Callithrix jacchus: one gene and its partners. The main gene of each other region encodes a partner of the protein of the gene in region 2 in a complex. Links are inferred from orthologs where the notes say so. Each region holds a gene or a part of one and is shown on either strand. Other genes may lie near its edges.

Region 1 (7,574 bases), on a different chromosome or scaffold from region 2:
GAATCTGGAGTTGCTCAACTAAAACTTGTTAAAGAAAAACTATTACCAAGATACAAAGCAGCAAAGTACCTCTGATAATTTCTACTGACAATCAGCTGATGGTTAATTACTACTGACCTCCAATGTGATTGAAAAGAAAACATCTTTTTTTTTTTTTGAGAAGGAGTTTCACTCAGGCTGGAGCGCAATGGCACCATCTCGGCTCACCACAACCTCCACCTCCCAGGTTCAAGCAATTCTCCTGCCTCAGCCTATCTAGTAGCTGGGATTACAGGTGGGAGCCACCACACCCAGCTAATTTTTGTATTTTTAGTAGAGACGGGGTTTCACCATGTTGACCAGGATGGTCTACATCTCCCGACCTCGTCATCGGCACGCCTTGGCCTCCCAAAGTGCTGGGATTACAGGCATGAGCCACCACACCTGGCCAAGAAAATGTCTTAAGCAATAGACTATATAACAAGGTATTTTCAGAAAATGTAACTTTAGATTGATGTCTGCCACACAATATTTATAAATAGAAATTATAACTGATGCTTACTTATAAGGTCCCACAGGACCTTAACCATATTGTTTGTAAATACTTACTAAAGTTTTAAAAATAAAAAGTCAAGTTTAATAAAAGTAATTCCCTCCCACGAAATGTCTCACTATTGGGCTTAACTAAAGGTTAATATTCAAGAAAAAATACATAATTTAGAATAACCGTCCTGCTTCCCCCACATTACATTTCTATTTAAACCACTCCATCCCATACTACTCAAAATATCCCTTTATTTTCAACTGGTTAGTTAGAAACTAACTCCAATTCCCTCAACTACTGCATTTGCTAGGTAAATCTTCTAAGTAGAGACAGCTGCAGTCTATCTCAGTGAATAAATCTCCGTACAATAAAGCCATTTTAAAATAAAATCATTCTTGCTTCACTTTAAAGTAGGGTACTTGTATAAATAAGAAATTGGCTAATCAGCATTAAAGTAAAAAAAAAAAAAAAAAAAGTGACTCATATCCTGTAAGAGCTTTAAAAAAACAGAAATCCAGCCAGGCATGGTGGCCCATGCCTATAACCCCAGCACTTTGGAGGCTGAGGCAGGCGGATCACCTGAGGTCAGGAGTTCAAGATCAGCCTGACCAACATGGAGAAATTCTGCCTCTACTAAAAATACAAAATTAGACGGGCGTGGTGGTACATGCCTATAATCCCAGCTACTCACTTGAACACAGGAGGCGGAGGTTGCAGTGAACCGAGATCTCGCCACTGCACTCCAGCCTGGGCAACAAGAGTAAAAGTCCATCTCAATTTAAAAAAAAAAGAAAAGTAGAGCTCCTCCTCAGCAGAATTTTCAACACCCTATCTTAAACAGCAAAATGCACAATAAAATGCAATCATAATCCATGGAAACATAAAATGCATTAGAATTTCCTGGTTTTATGTTTCTTTAATAATATTTAAATGCTCTTGTAGTTGAAACTACATTTAAGGTTCAAAAAACTGACAAAGGCCAGGCTCACGCCTGTAATCTCAGCACTCTGGGATGCTGAGACAGGTGGACTGCTTAAGTCCAGGAGTGTGAGAACAGCGTGGGCAACACAGCAAAACCCTGTCTTTCAAAAAAAAAAAAAAAAAAATTAGCTGGGTGTGGTAGTGCCAGTCTTCTAGTCTCAGCTACTCCTAGGAGCGAGGGAGTAGCTAGGGAGGCAGAGGTGGGAGGGTCACCTGAGCCTGGGGAGGTGGAGACTGCAGTGAGCCTTGATTGCACCACTGCACTCCAGCCTGGGGGACAGAGGGAGACCCTGTTTCAAAATACACACACACACACACACACACAAAACCACAATAACTTCTTTCACATTACTATTTATTGAGTCCTCATGGTTAAAAGTTTACAGTCTCATTTAATTCTCACAACAATCTTAAGAGGCAGGTATTTTTCTTTTTATACATGAGATATCTGAGACTCAGAAAAGGGAACTTTTCCAAGGTCACAAAGTAAATTTAAGACCTGAGTCAGGATCTAAACTGAGGTCTACGTGATTCCAAAGCTCAGTGCTCTCAATCGTTGTTAGAAGGATGGTCTAATCAAAAAGTTGAAAAACCTTAGGCCAATTTAGAATATTTAACATTCTTTGCTTAAAAAATTAAAAGACCAGCCGGGCGTGGAGGCTCATGCCTGTAATCCCAGCAATTTGGGAGGCTGAGGTGGTCGGATCATGAGGTCAAGAGATCAAGACCATCCTGGCCAACATGGTGAAACCCCGTCTCTACTTTAAAAAAAAAAAAAAAAAAAAAAAATTAGGCGTGGTCGTCCGCAGCTGTAGTCTCAGCTACTCAGGAGGCTGAGGTAGGAGAATTGCTTGAACCCGGGAGGCGGAGGTTGAAGTGAGCCGAGATCGGCCACTGCACTCCAGCCCGGCGCCTGGCGACAAAGCAAAACTCTGTCGCAAATAAATAAATAAATAGACCTTCTATAACCAACATTCAAGTTGAAACCAAACAAGAGAAATACCCCGAGGGTCCATTTTGTTCTGAATTAATTACTTCAAAGGCAGTCAGTGGCATACTACCACCACAACATATTTTAAAACACAAACCTCCCTTTAACCCCAAAGCCTCAAAAGACTCAAATAATTTCACATCATCTCAGATGCCTTCGGCAAAAGGTATGTTGTAGTATACTTTCTGTAATCCAGGCCTCAGTTTTGTATTTGTAAAATGAATTAAGTACCCTGAAAGTACTTTCCAGTATGGGGGTGAGGGTGGATACTGAAAGTGTTCACCCTATACAATAGTATATTCTGGGTCAGAGGAAGAGTATGTATGACAGCAGGCTAGCATAACAAGATTTGCAAAGTACTGGGAAAGCAAAGAAATCTTTCCTCCCTGGTTTGGTCAATCATTCTTAGCACCCAATGGCAAAGTCAACAGTCACCATGCTTAACACTCTTTAAACTCCACCCTCCACAGTAAAGCTTTAATAGCAATAGCTTCTTCCTCACTGCTAATGATCTTTGTTCGGCACGCTACTGATGGCTACCTTCCCAATTCAGGAGCAGAGAAAGAGCATCAGAGTGAGAGCGCATTCACTGAACAAAAAAAGCATCTACTGTACTCTCTTCTCACTGAAAAATGTACCCTTTATCTTCGTCGATTTAAAAAAAACTATCTGGATTCTTTCCGGACTCAACCAATAAGCAACTCTTTCTAACCACCCCGACCCTCCTTTATGTTTTAGCCAAGGACCCTACATGTTTCCATATCTTATAACAAATATCTAATGTGACCAAAAGAGTACACAACTTCCTCCCACCCCCAACCTTTTGGGAAAGGTATGTGGCCAACTAGGGCTCTTCCCTTCCTGTTGGATCCTCCCAGTGTTGCAGCAGGAAGCAACCAGTCCAGAGAGATAAAGCAAGCTAGTATTTGTGCAGCGCACAACCTTTCCTGCTCAGGAACCGGGCCTTCAGGTCTGGCAAGGATAACAGCCACCACCCATCCGCAAACCCTTCTCGCGAACCGAGTCAAGAGTTACCCAGGGTTGGGTGCTACTGGATGGGGAAGGCAAGAGAATGAAAGGCTAGGTGGGAAGTAATGTCAGCCTGCCGGGTCACTGCGACAAGTGCGCGCGTGGGTGACGGGCGATCCCTCTTACCCTCCCTCCCACTACCCGGGTCGCAATGGAGACACGGGAGCTCTAAACACAATTTGGGGAGGGAAGGTAGAGAAAGAGTTGCCAAATGGGGAGTGGGGGAGGGAGCGGTCAGAGAAGGTTAAGGACCGCGAGAACCGCCCGGCGAGAGGTGGGGGTGGAGGGCGCGGGGCGGGGGAGGGGTTGGTAGTTGGGGCCCCCGGTCCGCTCACATTTTACGGGGTCCTGGACCCGGGATGGGCGAAGCTAAGAGCGGGCGGCAGTCCGAAGGGAGGGAGGAAAGGGGGCAGATAAGAAAAAGACCTGTAGTGGGAGTCTGCGCCGAAGGAAAGGCAAGGAGGGAAGCGAAGAACCCGTCAGAGGGGCTTCGAGAGAGGACGCGAGCCGGGAAGGTTGTACACCGAGTGGGAGGGGGCGCTACACCCAAAAAGAGAGACGGTGGGAGGAGCGGCGGGGCCGTGGAACCCGGGGAAAGGAATTCCACGATGTGGGGAGAAGGCAGTTCACCGGGGGAAGGACACGCAGGGAGGGGCTCTAAGGCCAGCGAAGGCCTCCATGGAGGTCGCTCAGAGCGGCAAGTGACGCGGACCCCTGTCTGAGCGGGGAGAAGACGCCGAGCTGGGTAGGAGCCGGAACCGCACAGAAAGGAGGGGCTGAGGCAGGCCTATATCAGCGCCGGGGTGGCCGGCAGGCGGGTCCGCCGGGAGCGTCCGAGGTCCCCCAACGGGGACTGTGTAGAGTGCGAGAGCCCATGGCCTCACCTTTAAAGAGGTAGTCGTACTCGTCGTCGCGGGTGCCCATTGCGCGGCCGTGGAGCGAAAGGGCGGGAGCAGCAGTGGTATCTGTGGGACCAGGGGGCGTCGCTGCAGGGGTAACCCGAACGCCGAGCTTCAGCGGCCGGACTGGGTGGAGAGCCCCTCCCTGCAGCTGCGCCACTTCCGACAGGCCCCAGCCTCTAAGAGGAAGTACTTCCGGGGGCGGCGCCCCGCCCCTGAGCTCAAGAAGGGCGGTGTGCGCGAGAGTCGCATGGCTTAAGACTTCAAACTTTCGCTGCTAAAAGAAGCTCAGAGGGGAAATTGAGCCCTAGAATTACTAGTTCACCATGGTCTTAGTGGCCTCTTGCTCATTTCTCGAGCTACCGTGCCCGGAAGCGGCTCGCTGGAACCGGCCAGACCGCCTCTGGGTGGAGAGTTTGTGGATGGGGGCGGGGTTCTCTAAGGGTTAGTGAGCCCAAGGCAGCTACACATTCGTGGAGGTTCCATGGTGTAATGGTTAGCACTCTGGACTCTGAATCCAGCGATCCGAGTTCAAATCTCGGTGGAACCTGCACTGCTTCATTTTTTTCCTTGACAATGTATATAGTTTTTTCTTGACAAGGAGTTACCCAGGCTGGAGTGCAATGGCACGATCTCGGCTCACAGCAACCTCCGCCTCCTGGGTTCAAGCAATTCTCCTGCCTCAGCCTCCAGAGTAGCTGGGACTACAGGTGCGCACCACCATGCCCAGCTAATTTTTATATTTTTAGTAGAGACGGGGTTTCACCATGTTGACCAGGATGGTCTCGATCTTTTGACCTCGTGATCTACCCGCCTCGGCCTCCCAAAGCGCTGGGATTATAGGCGTGAGCTACCGTGCCCAGCCCTCTTGACATTTTTAATTCACATTTTTGTTCACTAAGTAATTGAACAACTATGATATATCTTCACTAGAATTAAGATGGAGATGTAAAACTTAACCCTTGCCTATGAAGACCTCACAAATTTCCCACTGCATTTCAGGTACTGTCTGCTACTTGGTGGGGGTTGTCTTACTGAGCCTCTTCTCTTTGCCTATTTTTTAGCCTGGTCCCTCAAACCTTAGTTCAGAAGCTTCAATGAAACTTGAAAATTTCTTTTGCTGGAATTTTCTACCTCCAGCTTCATGCAAGGGTAGGCGCTTTTGTCACTCATTCCTCTCTGGAAATCTTTCAAACATTTAGAGTACTTCGCCCACCCTCCTCATCAAGATTCATCAAGAACTTGAGTCCTATTTGTAGGCCTCTAATCTAAGTCCTTTTACATAAGTATTTCATTTAACATGCTGGGCTAAGGATGGCAATTTCCATTTTAGCGGAAATTTGGATACTAAGACTCAAGTGATTTGTCGGATATCATGCTGTGGGGCCTCCCTGTATTTGAAGAGAATTTTGTAATTCCAGAAAAGCCTTTTTCCAATTATTGTCACACCTCCTACCTCCTATATGCAAACTCTCAATTTAGAATTGTGGGAAGGAGTGCCTATAACAGGCAGAATATTGACCCCTGCCAATGATGTCCATTTTCCAATTCCTGAAGACTGAATAGGTTAGGTTACATGGCAAAGGAGAATAGAGGTTACAGATGGAATTAAGGTTGCCAATCAACTGACATTAAATTAGGGATATATCCTGGATTATTTGGGTGGCCCCAGTGTTGTCTTAAGGGTCCTTAAAAGAGGAAAATGGGCCAGGCACAGCGGCTGACACCTGTAATCCCAGCACTTTGGGAGGCCGAGGTGGGTGGATCACGAGGTCAGGAGTTCGATCGAGACCAGTCTGGCCAACATGTTAAAAACCCTTCTCTACTAAAAAAACACAAAAAAGTTAGACGGGTTTGGTAGTGTACACCTGTAATCCCAGCTATTCAGGAGGCTGAGGCAGGAGAATCCCATGAACCCAGGAGGCAGAGGTTGTAGTGAGCTGAGATCTCACCATTGCACTCCCGCCCAGGCGACAGTGTGAGACTCCATCCAAAAAAAAAAAAAAAAAACCTCAACCTGCCCTTGCTGGCTTTGAAGATGGAGGAAAGGGGCCCAGGAGACTAGGAATCCGGAGGGTTCTAGAAGCTGGGAAAGGCATGGTAGCAGATTATTTCATAAGGCCCCCAGAAGCAACACAGCCCTGCTGACAACTTGATTTTAGCCCAGTGAGACTCTTGTCAGAGTTGTGACCTACACTACTATAAATAATAAATTTGTGTTGTTTTAAGTCACCAAGTTTATGGTAATTTGTTATGGAAGCAATAGAAAATGAATACAGTGCCAATTTCAGTGCTTTCTCTGTCACTATAAAGTGATAGTAAGGTCCTGTAATCTCAGCTACTCGGGAGGCTGAGGCAGGAACCCAGCCTGATGAACCCAGGAGATGGAGGTTGCAGTGAGACAAGATCGTACCACTGCTCTCCAGCCTAGGCCAGAGGTGGAGGAGGAGGAGGTACTGGAGGAGGAGGAGGTACCGGAGAAGACACTGAGGAGGAGGAGGACGAGGCACGGACCCCTGAAGTGGAGGAATTAGATTGTAAGAGCGTATTCAGCAAGGCCATTCATGCTAGAAGAATTACCAATTTTTCTCCTTCAGTCATTCACTCTTAATGTGTACTCTGAAAAGGACATAGTATTCCTCAAAAGAAGAACTGAATCTTAAATTTAGCTAATAACCAAAAAAAAAAAAAAAAAAAGGCAGGAGGGGCTACATGGTCAAGTAAGTCCTACGGTAAGTTTTTCCTTAGGACACTCACACAGCGTTTCCGAAATTCACCAGAACACAGAATATTTTTTGCATGGAACACTATTCACATCCCTCTGAATTTTTAGGGGGAGTGAAAAAAAGATTTGTGGACAGAGGGGTGATTGAAGTAAACGTGGTCTTAGTAAAAGTAACCTGGCTGTAGCCTACGAGACTGGCATAAAGAAGGACTAGAAGTATAAGTATCAGAAGGCTATTGCAGGCTGGGTGTGGAGGCTCATAGCTGTCATCCCTTTGGGAGGCTGAGCTAGCAGGACTGCTTCAGCCCAGGAGTACAAGACCAGCCTGGGCAACAGAGTCAGACGTCATCTCTACAAAAAATAAAAAAATAACCAGGTATGGTGGCTCACACCTGTAATCCTAGCACTTTGGGAGGCCAAGGCAGG
Region 2 (6,966 bases):
TGGAATTTAGATAGCCTTATTAATTGCCTGGTCCAACTTGTATTTTTGCTGTTTCTCACTCAGTAAGTATAAGTAATTATGTACTTCACCCCATTTACACGAAAAAAATTTGAGTGTCTTCTCATGGAAAATTGTAAAGATTCATTTTTAATTTTTTGAAATCTTTTAAAATGTGTGTAGGCAGCATATAACTTCAAAATAATAATCTTTGCTTTCCAGGTATGAGTTATATTCTGATGTTTCATAAAAAGCTTGTCAAAAAGTCTTACTAGACAAAGGAATTACATAAATTTGACCTGTGTAAGTCTTATAAAAATATGTAACAATCTGGAAGAAAATGATGCATGTCTATGTTTTTGTAGAAAATATGGTGGAGTACTCAGTCAGACAAAAGCAACAGTTTGTCTTCTGTAACATTTAAAATATACATGCACGCTTGCAGACATAGATGCCAAGTGCGAGGCTTTGGGATTAAGCCACTTAGATTTGAATTTGGACTTTACTGCTTTCTTGCTATGCAATCTTGGGCAAGTTACAAATAGGGATCATAATATCTGCCTTGCACAGTTGTGAGGATTAAATGTTTGTAAAGTGCTTACAGTAGTTCCTGGCACAAGTCAGCTCTTAAAAAGTGGTTTAAATTACTGCCTTTGAACTAGAATCTTTCCTTAGAGTACCATTTACCTGCTTTGGGGTTTATGTCCATTTTCTCAGTAACTTTAGAAAGAAAATGCATTTGAAAATGTAAGTATTGCTTGTATGCTAATATTATTTATTTTTTTGCTTTTAGCTTTGATTCAAGGAATTTATTAATTGGGCTGAAAAAAAAATTCTTATGGAAATTGCCCTTATGCACCCTAAAAGGAAGTCTGTAGGAAAGCTTGGTTACCCTCAGCTCTTGGTTACATTCTTGTAGACTACTTGCACATCTGATTAAGCTATACTAAAGGCAGGCTATAGCTGTAGTGAGTGCATCATTTATGGTATGTCCAGTGCTTCTGGACTAGAGTGGCTTAGAGCTGTAGGATGAAGGAGACTGCTTTAGTTTGGGTGGCTGATGTCAGTGGAACTTTGTATTCCAGCAGATGGTATTGAGCTGGACTTAGGGAATCTGAGAATCTGTAAGGAAGAATACTTGGGGAAAATTTATTACAGAGGTGAGAAAGAGAGGGACAGCTGGAAGAGTAAATAGGAAGGCAGGTGCCAGCAGTGGATTATTACTGATGCCTAAGATGGTAGTTGCTGGATGCCCAAAATATGTCAAAAATATCTAAATAAATGTTATATTTTAAGGTAGTCAGTTTAGGAGGCTTTATGTGTTTTTTTTTAATCCTTCTGCAATAAATGTTTTGACAATTCTTTTGGGGATGCCTTCAAATGATAGTAGAACAATTAGTGTCATTTTTGATCCCAAACTAGGTTTCACAGTTCAGCCAGTCTCAGTTTATTCAGACACTTCAATTAATTAGGTTCCAGATTACTTTTTTATTATTTTTAGAAAAGACTTGTCATCATTTATTATAATCTGAATAGAGTGCCACTTGTGTCTTAAGAGGAACTCCAGCTTTTTTTGTGGGGATGGGAGAAGGGGCTCAGGGTGAGGGTAATGTTAGCATTATTGAACGTGGTAGTGGATGATAATAGAAAAAGGCAAATTGGCTATTTGGGAGTCATTTTTTAAAAGGAAAACTGCTACGAGGTATTATAACTAATCAAGAGTGGTTCAATTTATTATTTTAAATGAAGAGCATTTTTTAGTAATGTTTAAATTAGTTTTGATTTTGTAAAGTGGTTATGTTTGTACTTTTTAAAAAGTGTTTTTGTGTTTTCCTTTGGTTTGTTTGATAGGCTGACTTATCCTTGTATAATGAGTTCCGATTGTGGAAGGATGAGCCCACAATGGACAGGACATGTCCTTTTTTAGACAAAATCTACCAGGAAGATATCTTTCCATGTTTAACATTCTCAAAAAGCGAGGTAACTTTTTCATATTAGGAATACATTATAGTTGTTTCTATCTTTTTAAAACTAAATCGTGATATATATTTTAATATCTCTTACATAAATAAGTTATTATAAAATGTCATGTTTTACTATTTTTGCCATTCCATATTAGAATTATGATAATTTCTTGGCATTCAGTTACTGAACATCCTTATATAAGCAGAGACTCATTCACGCTAACATGTACTGCGTTGGAGTCAGGTATTAACTAGATATGGGGGATAGGGCTTATTTCTTGATTTGCAATCTAAGGTTCAGTGTAAGGGAAGTTCTCTGCACACCCAGTTAAAGGCATCTGTTGTGTCTATCTGTACATGATTCAAAATCTTATTTTTTTAACTTTAAAACAGGAAAAGTAATGTCTTTGCCCATGCCACAGGATTGTTAAAAGGATAAAATGAAGTAGATTAAGTAGATACAAAAAACTTAGAAAAATAAGGCAGTATAAAAATTTAAAGCTGTAATTTTAATTTGTTCTTACATGTGAAAGGTTTGTTTACAAATATCCTGTCAATTAAAGTATAAGAAATTTAATCCTAAGAGTCTTATGTTAAGCATTTCAAGGATTTAATTGTAATATTACTTATCAGAAGTTAAGATGAAAATTTTTCACACTTTTGATATGAATATGTGTTGTTCATTGTGGCTCTGTATCTGGTTTCAGGTAGGCCATTCAGTAATAGTAACCTTGACAGACTACAGAAGTTTGCCTGTTTCAAATCTAGTATAATTCCTGCCATCTTCATCTGGGCATTTAATGTTGGATAATTCAGCTAATTCTTTTGTAGACTCACTCTTGTGCACGTAAATACAAATTCAGAAAATATATAGCTAATTAATATATATTAGTGTGTTATAAATGATCAGTGTTTAAAAATACTGTATACATTTAGCAGAATAAAGCTTTAGGATATTAATTTTGAAGTGGTATTAACAGTAGATATTAATTGTGGGTAAAAAATGAACAGAAGCTGGAATTAATACCTTTAATCCTTGTCCAGATAATGAGGATAGTTATTTACCATAAGTGAATTGCCTTTCATAACAGTGTTTGGATTAGAAAATAAACCAAAATTGTGTGATTTTTTTCTTTTTCATTTGCTAAAGCAAAGCTAGTGGAACTTGGGAGAATAATTTATAAAATTAGTTTACTGTAGAATACAATTTTTATATTTTTCTGCCAGTGTAACATCTAATATATATTTTTTTAAGTTGGCTTCTGCTGTTCTGGAGGCTGTGGAAAACAATACTCTAAGCATTGAACCAGTGGGATTACAACCTATCCGGTTTGTGAAAGCTTCTGCAGTTGAATGTGGAGGACCAAAGTAGGTTTTTCCATGCATAACTTGTGAAAGTGACTGAGTTTTTGAAATGTTTTGGGTTGCAGTTATTTAGTTTTTCTGCTTTTAAATGTAGTTATATTTCCCTCAGATTTCTCTTTAGAGTCTGTGTAGCCCAAAGACGAATCCATGAGACACTGTGGAATATAGTATTTCAGATTTAGCATCAAAGGAGAGCGGTTTTAATTATGGATTGGTGCAAAAGTAATCGTGGTTTTTGCCATTGAAAGTAATGGCACCAAGCATGATTACTTTGGCACCAACTCAATGCAATAATATATATATATGATAGGACTAGAGATAGAAACCTGAGTGGTGGGGTGTGTGTGTGTGTGTGTGTGTGTGTGTGTGTATCTCATATTGTGACCTATCAGTGCATTGTGAAATCAGTTTAGTGGGTCATAAGCAGAATTTTTGTTTATTACACACATATATATAGCCATGTGTCCTGGGTTTCTGTATAAAATACTTCTCTCTGAAGGTGACCATCAAAAATAGTTTGGGAAGATACTGAGTTAAGACTAAATCATATCAATCATGAACGCAATGTACCAAAAAGACTTGCTGAGTTCTCTTCTTTCATATTATGTTTATAAAGGATTCTCACTTTAATAAACAATCAGTTTTATCTTTCATATGTGAATCTTACTTGAGAATTATAAACCTTCAGAGATAAGACTCCCACATTTCATAAGAGGACAGACTTTTTTCCCATCCAGTCCTATGAGGAGGAATAACTGAAAACAACAGTGCTTAACGCATCTGGCAAAGGTGAAAGGTTTTGCCTAAAACAGCATAATTGTGTCTTGCCTTTTATTTAGAAAATGACTTTGAAAGCTTTTGAGAAAGATGCTTATTAAATGCTAAAAGCCAGATCAATATAGGGAACTGGAAAGCCTGAGAGTGCTCATAGAAAGCATAACTGACTGCTGTCAGGGTTATTTTGAAGCGCGAAGAGGAAAAGACTGGTTGAGATGAACCAATGAAGTCTGTGTTAAAGCTGTTCTGGGGATTATGTATGCCTTTCTGTTCCTGTTAATGCTCGTTACATTCTCCACAAGATTACAGAATGTTGTTATTGAGGGGACGATTTGTTGGAGGGTTCCTAGTCATATATTTGATTTGCTCTGTAAGCCACATGTCCACCTCACTCCCCTAGTGCCACACCTGTACCACAGTAGCCTCTGAATTTTAGGGAAAGTATTTACATTCTTAAATTCTACAAACACAAGAGTATTTTTTTCTGATCCTTCCACCTCAAATATGGAGAATTAAATTTAATCATAGCAGTTTTTGTACTTTTAAAGTCTAAATTATGCCTCATTTTAAATATAGCATATGACAGTTTTTATTGTAGAGTTTAAAATTTGTGCTTGCATTATATATCACACATATACATGTGCACATATCATAAATGATAACAAATGGGGATATCAAACTAAAATGGATTTATAGTATCTTTAGTAAAATAATTATTAGTTTAGATTTAGAGAACAGTTTACAAAATTTAAGGATACTGTGCTTGTGGGAATCGGGCCAGAAATCAAGGCATTTGTGATGCATATCATTTGGAAAAAACTGAAGGAAGATAGTGTCTTCTTTAATGAAATGTGAAGTATGGCTCTGGCCGTAGCTCTTGTGAGCTGGAATGTGAAGATATTGACTAAATCAGTGGCACAACACTGAGGGCTTTGAAGAAGACAAGATCATTTCAGCTATGATTAGGTACTCTTCTTGAAGGGAGAGATTTTTGAAGCATAAGGGGAATTTGGATAAAGAGCAGTATATACAACTGAAGGCCTAGAAACAAGAAATCAAAGTGTGTTCAGAGGATGGTGAGCGTATGGAGAGGAAAGAGAAGATGTGAGAGATTTTAAGAAAGAAATGTTAGATTGGGGTGGGGGATGGGTAAAGGAGAAAGGAGTTAGAGATGTCTGACTGGAAGACTGATTTGAAGTGATTGTGGAAATTAACAGGAAAGACTTTGGTTTGTGGAAGGAGATTACAGGTCTAGATGTAGACATGTTGACATTTTCACATGAAAATGGCCAAACAAGGATTTGAAATCTTGGGTCTAGAGTTAAAGAGATATATTAATGTAGTGTATGTAGCATATTTGGAAAGAAAAATTGGAGTTGGAGGTCAGAGGTCTATTAGCATTGAATCTGTGGTTAACTACAAATATAGTAGTGTGTCCAGTTTACAAAATGGCTTAGAAATGAGATCTTTTAAGAAACACTATACACCATAGAATGCTATGCAACCATAAAAAAGAATGAGATCATGTCCTTTGCAGAGACATGGCTGGAGCTGGAGGCCATTATCCTTAGCAAACTAATGTAGGAACAGAGAACCAAATGCTACCTGTTCTCACTTACAAGTGGGAGCTAAATGATGAGAACACATGGACACATAGAAGGGAACTACACACACTGCAGCCTATGGAAGGGTGGAGGATGGGAAGAGGGAGAGGAACAGGTAGAATAATGGATACTAGGCTTAATACCTGGGTGATGAAATAATGTATATCACAACACCTATATAGCATATGTTTACCTATGTAATAAACCTGCACATCATGCACATGTACTCCTGAACTTAGAAGTTAAAAAAAAAACACTTATTGTTTTAAAAGTTGATACTTAAAGCCACCTTACCAGATCCATTTCAAAATTAAACTAAATAGTAGACCAGCAGGCATATATCTGTTTCCAGAAGAATAGTATATAAATTGATTTTTAGCAGCTTGATGGCACATTTTCCTCTTGTGTAGATTAGACTTTGGAAGTTCCACAGATTTCCAACACTTTGTGCTTTAAATTTCTAGATCTTCATCCTCCTCAAGCTAGTAGTTAGTGCTTTTAAATACTGTTACAGATCATTAAAGGAATTGCTAATAAAGAAACAATAAAGAAATAGCTTTTTGAAGAAAGATAGGAATTGGTTTGTGATTTTAATTGCCACCTCAAAAATTATCCTATTTACACATTGTTGTGTGTTTTCTTAATATAGAGGCACATTTGTATTATATTTAAGTATCACGAAAACATTGTTATTTAATGTATTTACTATATGATTTGTTCTGTCACATAAAATGCTACTGGCTACTCACTTTACTTAGAGCTATGCTAATTTTGCATTGATGGGGAGTGATAGTTGTATTAAGCCAGGTTTCTAGCTTAGGAGGGTGACAACTAGGTTGCTACAAGTCCAGCCTGATAGACATGCCAGCTTTACCTCACAGAGCCATAGAGTAACAGATGGGTCAGTCATTGAATGTGTGCTGTGTTCTTGGCACATGCTTGGTGCCAGGCATTTAAAGATGAATCAAAGCCCCTGCCCTCAAGAGGCTGATAGCCTAATCCCAGCCAGGAAGCCCTCATATAAAATTTTAGCTTTTTGTCATATGCAAATAGAAAGAGTGGTGTGAAATTTCTTGAACTTGTTATACGATGGTTAAGATTCAGTATTTTTGTAAGGTGGATTATTCCTTTGTACTTCTCCCTAGGTCCCACATTAAATGCATAATAGCAACCAACCAACCAAATAAACAAATACCCCATCTGGAAACTATTACCCTGCAAGCTGTCAACATGCTTTGAGACTTGAACAGACATCATGA
Region 3 (7,738 bases), on a different chromosome or scaffold from region 2:
GAACTCTGTGATTGCACCCAAAGCCACTGAATTGTACACTGCAAATGGGCGAACTGTACGAGAGTATGAGAATTCTTTTTTTTTTTTTTTTTTTTGAGAAGTTTCGCTCTTGTTGTCCAGGCTGGAGTACAATGGTGCAATCTTGGGTCACTGCAATCTCTGCCTCCTGGGTTCAAGTGATTCTCCTATCTCAGCCTCCTAAGTAGCTGGGATTACAGGCATGTGCCACCATGCCCAGCTAATTTTGTATTTTTTTTTTTTTTTTAGTAGAGACAGGGTTTCTCCATGTTGATTAGGCTGGTCTTGAACTCCTGACCTCAGGTGATTCCCCCCACCTCGGCCGCTCAAAGTGCTGGGATAACAGGTGTGAGCCACTGTGGCTGGCAGGAGTATGAGAATTCTATCTCAGTAAAGCTATTTTTTTTTTTTTGAGATGGAGTTTCACTCTTGTTACCCAGGCTGGAGTGCAATGGCACAATCTCGGCTCACTGCAACCTCTGCATCCTGGGTTCAAGCAATTCTCCTGCCTCAGCCTCCTGAGTAGCTGGGATTACAGGCATGCGCCACCATGCCCAGCTAATTTTTTGTATTTATTTAGTAGAGATGGAGTTTCACCATGTTAACCAGGATAGTCTCGATCTCTTAACCTCGTGATCCACCCACCTCGGCTTCCCAAAGTGCTGGGATTACAGGCTTGAGCCACTGCACCCGGCCATGTAAAGCTATTTTTTTTTTTCCACAAAAAAGCATCTTCCAGTGGCTTCCCGGTCCCTCTTCCCTCGAATAAAGTGGAAACAGCTGCCCCGGTGTGCCGAGGTCCCGCCTAACCTAGTCACCTCTTGGGACTCTGGCTCATGACCTTCTCTTTCCAGCCACACCATCCACACAGCTATTTCCTAAACATTCCAAGCACGCTCCTGACTCGGGGCTTCTACGCTTGCTCTTCCCTGTCCTGGAAAGTTCTTTCCTTCTGTAGCTCCCTGGCTATCCCTTTGTTCAGGTCCCTATTCAAGATCCCTCCCGAAGGGAGCCTTCCTGACCATCCTCATCCACTTGCTCTTACCTATTTATTAACTTATCCGACCTATATTTGTGTCACCAGCTGCATGGACCTGGGTGTAATGCTTGCAGATCCTAATGACCCGGGTGGACGAGGAACAGCCAGACTCAGCCTTTGCCACTAGGAGTTTCTTCAAATCCCTGCCGGGGAAGACTTGAGGCCCAGGCCTGGCTGGACCTCTCTGAACCCAGGGTGGGGATGCTAATTCCATCCAGCCAGCCTCAGCACTGGAATTTCGCCCTCTCAAACATAAGCTCCCTGGAGGCAGGGACTTGATGGTCTCATCCACTGCTTTTCCCTCCCAGTGACTCAATATGCATTTGCTAGAAGCTGGTAGCACAGTCCTGCGTGCACCTTGACTCACTCGGTCCTCTCTGCAGCCCTCGTGCCAAAGCGGCTGCCTGGCCCACAGAGGCCTTGGCAAAATATGGCCGGATCAAAGAAATAAAGCGCAACAGGGTCTATGCGGTGCTGAGCGGTTCACAAAGCACTTTCTCACACGCCAACCCTGTCACTGGAGGAATGAATGGGCCCCTGAGGAGTCAGTGGCACTCAGCCAGGCTGGTGAGAACCCATTCCAGGGAGCCACAGGGCCAAGTTCACACCACAAAATGATCGATGGGGCTTCTGAGAATAGATTTTGGCGATATGTTACTTTTGGCAAAATGTTAAGGACTGAGTGGCAGAAAATGAACAGCCACTCAATCCTTGGTCTATAAAGAAAACCCAGAGGTGCCCTCAGCCAACACGGAATCGCTTTTTTTTTTTTTTTTTGAGACAGTCTCGCTCTGTTGCCCAGGCTGGAGTGCAGTGGCACAATCTCGGCTCACTGCAACTTCTGCCCCCTGGGTTCAAGCGATTCTCCTGCCTCAGCCTCACGAGTAGCTGGGACTATAGGCAAGTGCCACCACGTCTGGCTAATTTATGGAATTGTCTTTAAGCATTGAGAGATTCTGCTTCAGGATTAGACAGCCCAGTGTGCCTAGGCTTCCTAAAGCATACCCCACCTCCTGCCATGCGTGCACAGGGACACACAAAATCAAGGAGCACTGTTAGGTTGGCTAAGCTCCACAGTAGCGCTCTGCCCTACACTCCTGCTGGGTTTTATTAACACGCCAAATTTAATTAGGAAGTGCAAACTTTATGAGACCTAAGAATTATGAGGCCTGAACTTCAAGGTCACGGTGAATTAGACTTTCCTAGAAGACAGAAGGCTACAAATGGAAGGAGCGGAACGCTGGGGTGGGAGGGAGGGATCTTGGGGTCACCTTGCTAGGTTAACTTTCACCAAGTCATATCCTCATCTGCAAATGGAAGATGGCCTCTTTAAAGCTTTAAAGTAACTCTAAAGAGGGGGTTTGAGGGGAAGGTGCTGAGGCTAGGAAACTGGGAACTGGGTAAATGCAAGCCACAGTCTGCCCACAGTTGTATTCTTTTTTTTTGAGACAGGGTCTCGCTCTGTTGCCCAGGCTGGAGTGCAGTGGCGCCATCAGAGCTCACCGCACCTTGACCTCCTGCGCTCAATCCACCCTCCCACCTAAGCCTCCTAAGTGGCTGGGTCTACATGGGTGAGCCACTATGCCTAGCTAATTTCATTTGATTTTTTGCAGAGATGGGGTTTTGCCCTGTCGTCCAGGCTGAATTAAAGCCACTTTTTGATTGGCTGGGGCACAAGGGTTACCCTAAAGCTTGGCCTTGGAGTGGGGGAGGGGGAAGAATTCAGAAACATCTGTCTTCAGAGGGTGGAAGCTGTCACCACAGGAGCCATTCATTTGTTTTCTCTAGATGGCCTCTGGTTGTGATGACAACCCCTTATTGTCTAATTCTAGTCCTCAACCACCAGGGCACTAGCCCAGGCAGACAGCGTCACTCCTGCTCTGAAGACAGCAGGGGTCAGAGAGGGGTAGTGCACGTTCAAGGGCCAGCAGCAACTAGGAACCAGACATGATGATTTCCAGTTAATTCTCTCTACTTTACATCTGGCATATAACTGTTTCATAAAGTGCAGCTCCTCGAGGGGGGCAAGAATGGAATTGGCACATTATCATGAGATTTAGGGAGATAACACGATTCTGTTGAAGTCACACATAAAGCAAAGGCCATTCTCTATGTTTTCTTGACTTTGAATAAACTCCTTGACTTAGTGACCGTTCCCTCACTATCCCCATCCCTAGCAGGGCTGCAGAGCTCACAGGCCACTCTGATCGGTGTTACTCCCAGGTCTAACCTTTTCATCGTGGGCCAGGACTGCTTCTGTGGCGCTGAGAGAGGTCAACTCTACTTCTGTGGACATCACAACTGAGACATCACAACAAGCCAATTTTGTTCAACCACGATGTGGGCTGGCCCTACGGGAAAAGCTGTTCTAAATTGACAACCGGTGTCCTGGGCCCTTTGATAGGGAAGTCAAGGCTGTCTGTGGCAGTGGCTGATTTAGTTTCTCATTGAGGGTTTTATCTTGCATCTTCTTGGGGATGACAGGTCCCAGGGCAGGCAGCACTGTCACTTGCCATTGCTGTCATCCTGGAGCAGGATAAAAGGCAGGCAGGGAAAAGGTCCTGACTCCTCTTATCATTTCTTCTAGAGGAAAATACACTTATGGGGGAAAACATGGCAAGGAGAGGGACTCAACCTCTGGATGCTCCAGAGAAGAGGAGGAATGGTGTGAGTTAGAGTCCCGGCTCCAAGGTGCATTAACTGAGTTTGTCATCAGCCAGGGGTGTGTGGTGCTAACTCTCTAGAAGAGCTAAGCCTCGAGTTTTGGGGTGAGACACAGCCAGGATTAAATTCCATTAAATCCCATTCTCACCACCTGCAGACTGTGTGGCCTTGGATAAGTCCCACGCCCTCCCTGAGCCTCAAATTACTCATCTGTGAGACGGGCTCATAACAGCACTTAAAACACCGAAACTAGAGTGTGGAAATGCACGTGAAGGACTTGGCACATAGCAATTGCTCATTAAGGCGACATGTCACCGTCTTTTTCCCACAGCCAATTCCTCATGACTCAGTTTCCACCTCTGTAAGACAGGAACCGCAAAAGAACCGCTTCGAGGGCTGCTGCTAGGACAGACCGAAAGGACGGGTGCGAAGACGCCTGCCCAGGACATAACACTCCCTAACGAGCGGGCTGAGGATGGGAGCCTCAGTCACCCCATCTGCAAAATGGGCACCTGGTCTCCCCCGCCACGGCCCATGAACCCCGAAACGGCGGTGCAGGCGGCTGCTCTTCTCCCTTCGACCCTCTCAGAGCCCTCGGCCCGCCCAGCAGGGTAGATTTCTCAGCCCCAGCCCCTCAGGGGCGCGCCCAGCCCGGGCCTCCGGCGCCCCTAGCCACTCCCGGATCCCGCTACCTATGGTGGAGATAAACGTGGAGTTGAAGGCGTCCTCGGAGAAGCGGAACAGGACACAGGTCTTCCCCACCCCCGAGTCCCCGATCAGCAGCAGCTTGAACAGGTAATCGTAGGTCTTCGCCATATTACACTCTCTCCCCGACAGGAAGTGCAGCTAGCGCCTATCCACTGGCCACCAGCCCCGTCCATCAGCGCCGAGCCCGCCCCTTATTGGCTCCAGGCCCGCAGCGTGTCACCGCGGCCGACACTCGCCCCTGAGTCCCGCCCGCCGCGGGGAGACCTGGGGAGGGGGCGAGCGTAGCGCGGAGCCGGAAGCAGCCCGAGCGTACCTCCCATTGGCCAGCACTGATATGAGGACGGGCTCTGATTGACCAGCAGTAAAGAGTCGAGGGGCTTCAAAGGGGGACGAGACGGGGGCGTGGCATTATGTGGCCCCTGCCTCCACCACAGACTCGGCGGCCCGGCCCCGCCCCAAAATGGGAGAGGGAAAGCAGCGAGCAGCGCCAACGGCTCGCGCGCCGACAGTCTGTGGGCGGGGCTTGGGGTGCGTGCGCACGCGCACCCGGAGGTCCGTTAGGCGCCAGCAGAGGGCGCACGCGCATAGTTGGGGAGGGTATCTCTGGGTCTCGCCCTCACAATTCGCGCAGCCTCAGTAGGCGCCGAAGCGAGCGCGGGAAAGGACTGAAGAGCTTTTTTATACGTCTGTGGTCTGCCGGGGCAGCGTGAGCCGAGGGAGGAAGGAGAGAGGAAGCGCTGTATAATCGAAAAGTGACCCCCGAGGCGAGATCCGAGGTCTCGGCTGTGGCTTGGCAACCTGCTTAGAGATACCCAAGCTCTCCGCCACCTGAGCGGCGTCACCGCCACGAGCTGTGCCCCAAGGCGCGCGCCGTCCCCCTCAGGGCCCGCCCTCGGCCGCCTTAGGGGTTGTCCGGGCCAGCCTTGCGGGTTAGGGCAGTGAGGATGCTGGGTCCTATCTAGGGTCGGCGGTTCTGTGTCTGGTGGTCCTCTCAACATTGAAAAAACAGACCGTCGCGGTGGCTTCCGCCTGTGATCATAGCGCTTCTGGAGGCCGAGGCGGAGGATCGCTTGAGGCCAGGAGATTGAGGCTCCACTAGCCTTGATTGCCCCACTGCACTCCAGCCTGGGCGACAGAGCGAGACACTCGAAAAAAGAAAAGGAGGGATACATTAGGAAAATCGGGCTTGCAGCCGGGTCTGGTGGCTCATGCCTGTAATCCCAGCAGTTTGGGAGCTGAGGCAGGCAGATCACTTGAGGTCAGGAGTTCGAGACCACTGCATTCCAGCTTGGGTGACAGAGCGAGACTCTTTCAAAAAAAAAAACAAAACAAAAAAACTTAAAAAAAATTAGCCAGGTGTGGTATTGCATGCTTGTAGTCCCAACTACTCAGGAGGCTAAGGTGGGAGGATCCCTTTAGCCTTGGAGGTCAAGGCTGCAGTGAGCCATGATTGCACCACTGCACTCCAGCCTGGGTGACAGAGCAAAGCCCTGACTTAAAAAACTTTAATCCCAGTACCAGCCCAGCAAAATGATACTGTTTTTTTCCCATTTGATGGTGAGAAAACTGAAGCCAGAGGAGGTTAAGTGACTTTTTCCCCCTCCCCACTCAAAAGTAGAAGTTGGTATCAGAATTCAGAGTGCCAGTCTTCCCAGGCTGCAATTTGCTCACTAGGGCTTCCTGCTTCTTAGAGATGGCCCAGTCTCTCTTAGGTCACTCTGGGGCCTCCAGGGCCTGGAGGCTCACTTAAGGGTCTGCAGAAGGATGGCCCCAGCCTTTCCTCCTCCCTTCCACTTCAGCTCATTCTGCTAATATAGCTCTGGCTAAGAAAAGCTTCAACAAGAGCCACTGACCACTTCACAGGCCTCAGCCTCTGTGGGATTTGAAAGTCTTGACCACCTCTGAATAGTCTATTTTTTCTTGGTATCATCCTCATTTTATTTATGTACTTATTTTTGAGACAGGGTCTTGTTCTGTCGCCCAGGCTGGAGTGCAGTGGTGTGATTTTGCTCACTGCAACCTTCGTCTCCAGGATTCAAGAGATTCTCCTGCCTCAGCCTCCCAAAAGAGCTGGGATTACAGGTGCCTGCCACCACACCTAATTTGTATTTTTAGTCGAGATGGGGGTTTCACCATACTGGCCAGGCTGGTCTCGAACTTCTGGCCTCAAGTGATCTGCCCTCTGCCCCCTGCCTCTGCCTACCAAAGTGCTGGGATCACAGGTGTGAACCCCACGCCTGGCCCTATCTCTATTTTATTTGCTGGTTTCTTCTCCCTACCACCTCTCCCTCCCTTTCTTTGATTGGTTATTTTTCTCAGACCCCAATGCAGTCTTTTTTGGGGGGCAGGGGGTGGTTTCTGCTTGTCCCTTAGAATTTGTGTTTCTCGTGTTCTGTCTCTGTTCTCACTTTCTGGGTGCTCCTAATGTCTCCACGCTGACCAGTCTCATTGTTTGACCCTTAGCCAAGCCATCTCTTCACATCCATCTGTGTTCTGGACATCTCACTTTGGATTTGTCAGCTACTCCTAACTCAGCATGTTCACAACTGAACTCATCAGCTAATATCCAGACCGGCTTGTCCTGATTTTCCTTGCGAGTGAAACTTAAGCCATTTGTGACAGCTGCCTTTCATCTCTCATCTGTCACATCCTGGTTTTTAAGGAGGTTCTAAATAGCTCTTGAGGGCCGGGCGCCATGGCTCACGCCTGTAATCCCAGCACTTTTGGAGGCTGAGGCGGGTGGATCACCTGAGGTCAGGAGTTCGAGACCAGCCTGGCCAACATGGTGAAACCCCGTCTCTACTAAAAATTTTAAAAAGTAGCTGGGCATGGTGGTGCGTGCCTATAATTCCAGCTACTCAGGAAGCTGAGGCAGAAGAATGGCTTGAATTGGGGAGGTGGAGGTTGCAGTTAGCTGAGATTGCACCACTGCACTCCAGCCTGGGTGACAGAGCAAGACTTGGTCTCAAAAATAAAAAATAAAACAAACAATATCTCTTGAATCTGGTTCTTCCTTTTCCATTGCCACAGTGGAATCATCGCGTTTCTCCACTGGTCTCCCTGTCCATTTTGTCTAATCCAGACTCCACCCTGCAGTGTGGTTATTGTAAAACACTTACTTTACTCTGGGCACTGTGGCTCACGCCTGTAATCCCAGCACTAAGGGAGGCTGAGGCAGCCAGGTTACTTGAGGTCAGGCATTTGAGACCAGCCTGGTCAACGTGGCGAAACTGTCTCAATTAAAATTACAAAAATTAGGCTGGATGTGGTGGCTCACGCCTGTAATCCCAAGCACTTTGGGAGGCCGAG

What was found. Proteins that work in one complex are often made in the same cells at the same time.
Region 1: the proteins of RAB3IP (region 2) and RAB11A are in contact, whole or in part, in a crystal structure (PDB 4UJ5), measured with the Homo sapiens proteins. The link is inferred for Callithrix jacchus from reciprocal best matches to the Homo sapiens genes RAB3IP and RAB11A. Residues at the interface, in NP_783322.1 of Homo sapiens: Asn367, Thr368, Leu369, Ser370, Ile371, Glu372, Pro373, Asp412, Arg424, Thr428, Cys431, Asn432, Thr435, Tyr439, Leu444, Val445, Lys446, Gln447, Gln448; in NP_004654.1 of Homo sapiens: Phe36, Leu38, Glu39, Asp127, Leu128, Arg129, His130, Leu131, Arg132, Ala133, Pro135, Thr136, Leu156.
Region 3: the proteins of RAB3IP (region 2) and RAB8A are in contact, whole or in part, in a crystal structure (PDB 4LHX), measured with the Homo sapiens proteins. The link is inferred for Callithrix jacchus from reciprocal best matches to the Homo sapiens genes RAB3IP and RAB8A. Residues at the interface, in NP_783322.1 of Homo sapiens: Ser199, Arg202, Asp203, Gly206, Leu209, Glu210, Thr213, Ala214, Phe217, Glu218, Ala220, His221, Val224, Asn228; in NP_005361.2 of Homo sapiens: Lys10, Phe33, Ser35, Thr36, Phe37, Ile43, Asp44, Phe45, Lys46, Ile47, Trp62, Ile73, Ala76, Tyr77, Arg79, Gly80.

What each region holds. Positions count from the first base shown.
Region 1 is NC_133509.1:12,874,858-12,882,431, reverse strand, and holds the start of RAB11A (ras-related protein Rab-11A), read right to left. Parts: upstream 4,552-7,574; 5' UTR 4,449-4,551; coding exon 4,409-4,448; intron 1-4,408. UniProt on the Homo sapiens protein: The small GTPases Rab are key regulators of intracellular membrane trafficking, from the formation of transport vesicles to their fusion with membranes.
Region 2 is NC_133510.1:72,378,237-72,385,202, forward strand, and holds part of RAB3IP (rab-3A-interacting protein), read left to right. Parts: intron 1-1,848; coding exon 1,849-1,977; intron 1,978-3,216; coding exon 3,217-3,329; intron 3,330-6,966. UniProt on the Homo sapiens protein: Guanine nucleotide exchange factor (GEF) which may activate RAB8A and RAB8B. Promotes the exchange of GDP to GTP, converting inactive GDP-bound Rab proteins into their active GTP-bound form.
Region 3 is NC_133523.1:14,724,705-14,732,442, reverse strand, and holds the start of RAB8A (ras-related protein Rab-8A), read right to left. Parts: upstream 4,552-7,738; 5' UTR 4,538-4,551; coding exon 4,414-4,537; intron 1-4,413. UniProt on the Homo sapiens protein: The small GTPases Rab are key regulators of intracellular membrane trafficking, from the formation of transport vesicles to their fusion with membranes.